Coturnix japonica: one gene and its partner. The protein of the gene in region 1 purifies or fractionates together with the protein of each later gene. This does not show direct contact. Links are inferred from orthologs where the notes say so. Each region holds a gene or a part of one and is shown on either strand. Other genes may lie near its edges.

Evidence for each region.
Region 2: the proteins of CORO1C (region 1) and ACTR2 fractionate together in Homo sapiens (co-fractionation; 3 studies listed by BioGRID and IntAct, with this or other methods). This does not show direct contact. The link is inferred for Coturnix japonica from reciprocal best matches to the Homo sapiens genes CORO1C and ACTR2.

Annotation. Positions count from the first base shown.
Region 1 is NC_029530.1:5,697,244-5,701,262, forward strand, and holds part of CORO1C (coronin-1C), read right to left. Parts: intron 3,173-4,019; coding exon 2,973-3,172; intron 1-2,972. UniProt on the Homo sapiens protein: Plays a role in directed cell migration by regulating the activation and subcellular location of RAC1. Increases the presence of activated RAC1 at the leading edge of migrating cells.
Region 2 is NC_029518.1:1,512,760-1,517,539, forward strand, and holds the start of ACTR2 (actin-related protein 2), read right to left. Parts: upstream 2,922-4,780; 5' UTR 2,808-2,921; coding exon 2,760-2,807; intron 1-2,759. UniProt on the Homo sapiens protein: ATP-binding component of the Arp2/3 complex, a multiprotein complex that mediates actin polymerization upon stimulation by nucleation-promoting factor (NPF).

The sequences.
Region 1 (4,019 bases):
ATATGATGAATCCCTCCAGGCCCATTCACAAGGCGGTTGCACAAAGCAGCCCGGCGGCACCGAACCCGGTTCTGGTCACGCAAGGGTTAACCGGCTCGCACTTGGCGCGCCGCGACTCCTCCCCAGCCAATCAGCGTGGCGGTCCCGAGCGCTGTCATGACCATATAAGGCAAAAAGCCGCGGCTGCCGCAGTGCCGCTGTGGCGGGCGCGGGAACGCGCGCGCGCGGCGCGGGAAAGGGCGGGGGAGTGACACGTGCGCGGTCCGGAGCCGGCAGAGCCTGTATAGCACAGAGAGACCAGGAGGGGTGAAGTGCTGAGCCCCGGTGTTACGCTGAGCTCCTGCAGCTCTATAGCCGTGCTGACAGCTCCCTGAGGTCAGACTGTAAGAGTGATGCCCCGGGAAGTGGAAGGGGGTTGATTTCCCTGTGGCTGGAGCTACATCAGGTGTTAAACGTTAAAAGCGTATCAAAGGCAAGGTGTAAAAGTGACTGCTTTCATCTCCAGGATATAACAGCAAGCGCCTTGCTGTGGGAACTCAAACACCTGTGCTAAATGGACTCAGAATGGGGGAGGGGAGATGTTGAGGGAGCTGAAGGAGCGAGTGTCATCACTTACAGAGGCAGAAATAGAAGAGGAACGCAGGAAGTGATAGAGCACGGCCCACAGCGTGCTGTGCTGCAAAAGAAATCATCAGGCTGAGGGATTTAAGAGCAGCAGCCCTCAGCAACCAGCCATGCCTCAAACCTTGTCATATGGGAACTTGAAAACAGGGTTGGAATGTGGCTGAGAAGACAGAAGTGAAACCAAAGGATAGCAGGAGGAATCACTGAATAAATGAAAATATATATATATAAATAAAAAAAACAACCTACCAAATAATAACACATAGCAAGGGGAAAATAGGAGCCTGTCCTGGCAGGGCAGTGCTGCAAGGCATGCAATGCCACAGCAACTGAGCAAGGGGCTTCCAACCCAGGTCTGTGCTCTGGCACCAGGCTTGGGGAGGAGCAGGACATGCAGCTCCAGGGCAGCACAACCCAGAATGTCTGCAAAGAGCTGCTAAAGAGATGAGCAAAATGCAGAGCTATGTAAGAGCCTGGGGGCTGGCTTGCTTCGTTAGAGCTAGCAAGGCAGAAGTGAGAACTCGCCGCGTCTGCTCCTGTGATGCACTCCCCATCAGAACGCTGTATTCACTTCTGGCCACCACTGCTATTTATAACAGGGCAGATCTGCACACAGAGCTAAGAAAAAGGGCTGATAACAGACAGAACATTTGAAGAGTACGGCTAAGAGAGGCACGAGGGTCACAGACAAAACGTTACTAAGGAGGAATAGTAGCTTTTCTTTTTTCCTCATTCACACGAGTACAAAATGCCATCTTAAACAAGAAATAGGAAGGTTTTGAAAGAACAAGGAAACACCAGGAGCTGCTGGAGCACAGCACAGAGCAGGCTCCCTGATCTGGTGCTTCTCTGTTGGAAAGAACCATTTATCTAAAGGGTTACGAACCCAAATCTAACTGCTTCTGTAAAGCAACACCATCCAAATGCTGCAGCTCTAAGTTTGTACTAGAATCAGTTTGTATCCGTATTGGACTACTGACTCTATCTAACATGGCAAGAATTTACACTAAATGCATAAATGAAGCCAGGCATGCGATTTTAGAAGCATCAAACATGCAGAATTGAGGAGAGCAAGAAACGTTCTCAATACAATCCTCTATCATTCCTAAGGACGTTTATTTCCCTTCTACCTCCATCAAGTTATCCCTCTTACATATTGTACAGTTTCAAAGGAGAGAAAATTCCTGTGGAAAGAAATTACTCAGATGAAGTAATGCATTTAGGTTTGATGTTTCTTGCTTTTGTTTTTTAACTACGAACACATGAAGGGATTGGGGTGGCCAAGAGCCTGTCAAAAGATTTGCAGGGTAGCATTCTTGTAATCTGACTGTGGTAAAAAGCAGCACATCAGAAAAGGGAGAGGAGAGCAGCACTCTCCTCTGCAAGGATGAAAGATGCACTGTGGTTTTTCCACGTGATACCTGGGGGCAGAACGAATTTATAGAATTTCTTTCAGTCTGAGATGCTGCTCCTGCTCTTCTGTTTGCTTTTATACCGTAACATTATGAGACTGGCAGGGAGATTTCCATGCCAATCTATACAGCCTCCTCCAGCTATTTGATGCAGCCATTCTTGTAGCTGGTGGGCAGCAACCCATCCTTTCTGTGTGCTTTACAAAGCATAGGCCTGAGGAGCTACAAAAATATTCAAAGGAAAGGGAAGTAAATTGTACATACAGCCTCACTGTGGGATTATTTCTGGAGACTGAGCAGCATTTGGCACAGAGAATGCAAGGGACAGGCTCAGATGAAGCAATGCTTCTCTCTGTGTCAGGTACTAAGGACTAGCAAGACCTGGCTGCAGCATCAGGGCCCAGACACAGCCACACAGGCTGGGTGAGCTGCAAGAGTGCTGTGATGGCCCTGGAGCTGTTGTCTCACACCATACAACAGAAGTGTAACGACAGGACAAGCAGCAGCCAGACCAGCAGCACCATGGTCACAAGGGCTGTGCATACGCGCTGCATGGAGCAGCATCCAGCTGTGCCACCCACTCCATCCCGGTCTGAAGGGAGCATTCCTGAATTTAGCAACTCTCAAAGCTCATGGAGCCAAATCCTGATGGCAGAAAAGCCTGTCTGCAGCTAGCACAAATGGAGAGGCTTTAAGAGGAGCACGAGTTCAACTCAGAAACCTCTGACATAAAAGATTTGTTTTAGATCAGTCAAGCCAAACTACTTATTTACTGCATTTAATGCACAGGAAGCGTCCTGACTCCAGCAGCATTACATGTGTTCTTACACAGCACAACCGAGCAACGTTTGTCACAACACAGCAGAGACTTCACAGGCACTGAAGTGTCAAGGGAAGGCTGAGCATGTTAAAAGTGAGAAACCCAGCAGCACTTACCTTATGCAAAGGCAGCACCAGGAAGGCCCCGCCGCCGCTCGCATCCACGATGATGGCAACGAAGGAGGGGTTGACGGCGCAGAAGGTGCTGTCCCAGGTGACCCGTGAGACACGGATGTCATCGTAGCACTGGTCGTTCTTCACTGCCTGGCCAAACACATGCCGGAATTTGCTCTGTCGTACCACTCGCCTCATTGTGTCTGTAGAGAAAAGGAATAGCAGAAGGTGGTTAACAACGTGCAAGGATGTGCTGCTTGTTAGAGGGCAAGTCAAGGGCTTGTCACCTTGCTGTCACCCAGCACCGCCGCTACACAATGCAGCTTCACACACTGCTGCATTCACAGGAAGCTTCCTGTAGACCTGCTAAGTTCTCGAGCTGCTTTACACTTAACAAACAGCACAGGTTGCTTCATCCTTGACACAACCAAACCGCACATTCAAGGGGTGTTTTGCAGCAGGAGCTCGCTGGTTAAGTGTCAGCATTGCCATCGCAGACGCTCATTCTACAGCAAAGGAAGTCCCTAATCCTAAAAGCAGTTTTTAGACAAGTCTCCGCATATTTTCAGGGATAAATCTGGGCTTGGATTGAACTTGTTTACTTTCAAGTCAGACAGGGTCCAGAAGATGTAAATAAAAACGCAAGCTCTCAAAATCCGGTGTTCCTGTGAAGTGGTTCCACATGTCAGCCAGCTTCCACTTCTTTCTTCTCAATCCAAAATCTCACTAAAAAAATAATAAAATTAAGTTTCCTAGGCAGAAAGGAGTAATGGAAACAACCTAATGACTCAAATTAACTTAGCGTGTCTGTAGCACTTCTCTTGAGAAAAGGATTTTCAAGAAGGTTTGAGTTAAAATAGAGGGAAACTGACCAGCATGGAAAATTCCAGTGCTGGATGAAGACTCAGGTATGGGACCAAGTGTGAACCCCAGCCCTGGAAGCAAGTATCCATGTCCTTCCTTGCTTCACAGAACCTCCCCATGTGGAAGCAGTGATGGGAAAGCCACTGTGCTTTGCAAAGCTTCTACCTGCAGACCCAGGCTGATGCC
Region 2 (4,780 bases), on another chromosome or scaffold:
AAGTGAAGGTTTACAGATTCACACACAGACATACAAGAAAACTGAACTAGAAAATGCTGAGCTACAAAGATACTGTTCTAAGTTCTGACTCTCTCAGCTGTAAATGTAACTTTCAGTCCCTAAGTTAAGCCCTAAGGCCTTGACACACCTTGCTGGGTCATTGCACAACAGTAGGATACTGGCAATTCACAGATCTGATAGCTGAGCCATTCACCTCAATCTCACTCATTTTATTTTGCATTGAATAACCCCGTCTCTCCCTTTCAGGTTAGAACCAAGAATCTGTAAGGATGACCTTTTTTTACAAACTCTACGTGGTTAACCAAACAGAAGGGGCAAGTTTTTCATTCCACCTTTCTCCCCTTCAAATCCACCTTGTTTCCCCAGGCCACATGAATCATCAGTGAGCACTGAAGGCAGCCCTGTAGCCAGTATCCCCTGGTGGGAGATGCTGAGTGTCCTCAGGGTACAGCACTGCCCCCACCACCACGGTGAGCACTCAGCTAGGAGGCTGGTGATGAAGCAATGTCAGATTCTAAGGCTGAAGAAGGACACTTGGTCAAACTACCAAGAGATAAGTGATAAGAGATAAATGCACCTAAGCAACAAACACACATCCACGTAACTGAACTGTCTTGGAAGAAGAAACATATGATGCTCATCCTCTCTTTCAAAAGATCTCTTGAAACATCTGATTGAATGTTATAAGCTAGTTTGGAATATAATCATCTTCTGGAGCCAAATATGAAATACTCAGTGTTCTCTCTACCGTCATGTGAAGCCCTCTATTAAAACTGAAGTACAGCATTGTTGTTGCTCTGCCATCCCTCCTCTGTGCAGCCCTTGGAGCAATGACTTCAGTACAACACTCAGCGCACACCATGGCTCAATGACTTCAGTACAACACTCAGTGCACACCAGGGCTCAAACACCAAAACCAACACTCAATGGATTTATACACCTCTTGGCAAGGAAGCCAAAGTTCACCATCATTCCTTTTTGCAAGTGCCTGCTACACATGCAAAATGCTTTAAGAGCAGCTACTTCATTTGCCTGCCCGTGTGACCATTTTACCATATATAGTTTCTTCTCCATTGCACTGTGGTTTGCACGGGCTCTTTCACTTCCTACTGAGTCATCGAGCAGCAAGAACTTGAACGTATAAGTGTTCTTCCGAACTAAAGAATGAGGAAGCTCCCAGACACCACGTGACAGGCTTTAAAATGAACACAGTCATATTCTTACTGGGGAGCAGTGTTTGATTCCTTCAGTTGATGCAACTCTCAAACAAAACCTCTAAATACTATTAGAGAAACGTTACAGGCCACTCAGTTACTTTCTGCTTGTCCTACAGAACACCCACCTCTCACACTCCTGCAGCCCAGATGCCATTGCCTGCCTCCATTCTGCACTACATGTTGGAAGAACTTCCTTCTAGTCGCCTCTTCCTCAAAGCAGCATCCAGACAAGTTTAAAGTTAAAGCTGCAGCTGAGTTTTCTAGTCTCTGTTTTTAATGTGATATTTCTGGCACCTGACTAGAAACTTAATTTCGCACGTTAATTATGACATATCACGGCATATCAGAAATCCTTTTGATATAAAGGAGGTCACACATGAAAACAGTTACCGTGAAAAATCCCATTTTGACAAAGTAGGCCTAATTTGACATATTCAATTCCCAGCTGAAGTTTCAAACACCTTCCAATGCCAAGAACACAATTTTTTTCTGGTTTAATTATCCTAAATTGACCTCCATATTTCAAGCTGACTGATTGAACAGCCGTGTCCTGATACCTCGTTCTTGCACAGAGCTGACTCTGATACCTGCACACATGCACTGTTTGCTCGGAGGGAAATGCAATCTAACCCAGCACAAGCCGAAGTGACACTGGCCCCTCCTCCAGGCCCCCAACAGCAGCACAAAGGCACCTCACCGTGTTACTTACACCCAGCTGGTACAGCAATACAGCGCTGTGTCACCAGCTCCAGCCAAGTGCTGCACAGCTCACTGCTGCACTGCCAGCAGGAGGGCAGCACTGAAGGATGGAGGGGGCTCCTGGGGCATGTGCCTCTTGGGCCAAGCCTGACAAGGAGAGCATTAAGCACTGAGAACGGGGGTGGGGAAAGGAGTGAGGGGTGGAGGGAGGGGGGAAGGCCTTCTTTTTCTTATCCTAATCGATACAGTGGGCAGTGCCCTGCTGACCCTCGGCCCTATTCAAGATCGTTTTCCCTGGTAGGGAGAAACACGAGGAGGCACCGGGGCCGTGAGAGCTGCGCTGTCAGATCCCTGCTCTCCTCACTTCAAACACTTGACAGCACGCTCCGCAATTCAAGAGGCCGGATCCTTACCAACGCCATCCTTTGTCTCAGCCATTCCGTCCTCGGCTTTGAACGGTTTTTTCTTTATTCAAAACGCTTTTTTATAAATATAATATATATATACATATAACTATTTTTCCTCAGGGGGAGGCACACAGCACACACCAGGCTCCGCCGTCTCCGCGCTGCTCTCAGCCGCTTCCTGCCTCCACGTTACGAATCGCGGGGGCAGGAAGGTGGCGGATCGCAGGGGCAGGAAGGTGGCAGCGAGCCCCGACCACCTCAGCGCCGCCCGCGGCCCATTCATTCCCGGCCGCCTCCCGTTGGCGCAGGCCCCGCCGCTGGGCCGCACAGGGCGCGGCGGGCGGACCGGGCGTGCCGGCAGGAAGCCGAGCCGGGGGAATGGCTTTTCTCCCTCCCACCGACCCGCGGGACTCACCCCGGTGCCGTTGTCGCACACCACCACCTTTCTGCCCAGCGTGTCCATCCCTCCTCCGCCACCGACCGATCGATCGATCGACCGCCTGCCCGCCCGCCGCACCGTCACCTCACGACGCCGCCGCCGGGCCGCGCGCCCGTTCTGCCGCCGGAAGCCGTCAGCGCCCCGTCGCCAGCCAATCGGAGCGGCGCTAGCACCTCCTTCGCCCCGCCGCCAGCCAATCGGAGCGGCGCTAGCGCTCCTTCGCCCCGCCCACCGCCGTTGCCATGAAGGAGCAGCTCCACAGGATGGAGGAGCAGCCCCCCAGGGGGAAGGAGCGGCCCCACAGGGCGGTGGGCATGGAACAGGCGGCCCAGTGGGCACAGCAGCACTGCCAGGGCTCAGGGACAGCGCTCACAGCCATAGGGGTTGGGTGGTGCTGTGTGGAGCCCGGCCTTGGGAGCAGTGATCGCTGTGTATCCCTTCCAAGTCAGGGTGCTGCAAAGCATTGGGCTGTCTGAATATACAGCAGTTCACCAGCACAGTGGTGGTGGAACCAGCACAGTGGGATGGAGCAGCTTCCTGGTTATTCTGGAGCAGCAGCAGCTGTACCTGGGTATGAACTACACTGTGATACAGATACATTTCGCATTAATATTTTCAGTTTTTCAATATGTGGTGTTTTCATATTCATACAAATGAAGGGCTTATGGTGTTGCTTGACACGTGTAACAGATACATACAACAGTTGCCTTAAACGACAGTTCTTTGCCCAGAAATGTTAGTTGATCCATGTATCTGAAGTGACTCATCTTGTTGAACCCACTGTACAAGGCTCAGATTGAGGAGGTACCCTCTGCCTCCTGCTCTACTCTTTGACTTGCCATGTAAGTCTGGATGCATTGCTTAACCTTCCCAGATCTGAGTGTAATGAGCTGGATATGTACCATGCCATATGATGCTTATGCTCGTGGATAAAGCACTTGAGCTCTGTGAATGAGAAGTGTTTCAGTTCTAATCCTCTGTTGATCAGGCAGACAGAACGCTTCCACTGTGTTTCCTTACGTAGCGAGGTGTTCTCCACTCTGAGATAAACTGGCCTTTATTTAGGAGACCTGAAGGGGGAAAAAAAAAAACAACCAAATGATGCATTTGCTATTTTTTTCTGAGCTGAAACATTCAGTAGAACTCAAAAAATATGTTTATTAGTTTAATCGTATCCCATTAATATACGTCCCCGCAGATTCTATTACGTAAGCCTTTATCTACCAGGGATTTGGTCTATTAGTTAGGGAAACCCAAGGGATTAATCTGATAGCTGCAGTCAGAAATGACAGTGTAATTAAAGTCACCCAGGAAACAGTGATACTGAAGCCTGTCAATCCCTGCAAAGCAAACGGTTAATTTGCTGCATCTGGCATAATATATAAGGTGACATACTAAAGGGGATGTCTCCTCTCTTAGGCGGACATGATGCATTGACTTGCTGTGGCTTTAGCGAGAGGGCAAGGCTTTGTGTAGAAGGTAAGCAAAGTATGATGACTAAGTGAAAGCTGAAGCTTTTACTGCATCTGTCTTGTATGGAGTTGAATAGGCTCTTAGGAACTTGTCAGTCAGGAGACCTGCCTTCATCCTAATGTGCAGGCGTAGAGACTGTGTGAACAGAGGCAGGAAGCACTCAGAACAGAAAGGGAAAATGGGCTACTGATGCATGCAGAGCTTTGCTTGGTATAGCAGGCAAAGGAGGGTCCAGGAGGAACAGAAGATATCTGTTCTGAGTCTGGTCAGCCTGAGAAAAGTCCTTAACAAGACAAAGTGGAAGCCTTGAGGAGTATAAAAGCACAGGAAATGATGCATTTCCAGTCCCACTTTTGCTTCTTTCTCAGCAGTGGGTGGGTAGGAGTTGCCTGTGCCAGCTCTGTACAGGCTGGCAGAACTGGGACCAGCCCCTACGTTGTTAAGGTTGCTTCCAGATTTGTTTGTCAGACTGAGAGGAGGACACCCTACATAAGTGTTGGTCTTAATTCTTTACTCTTAGTTAT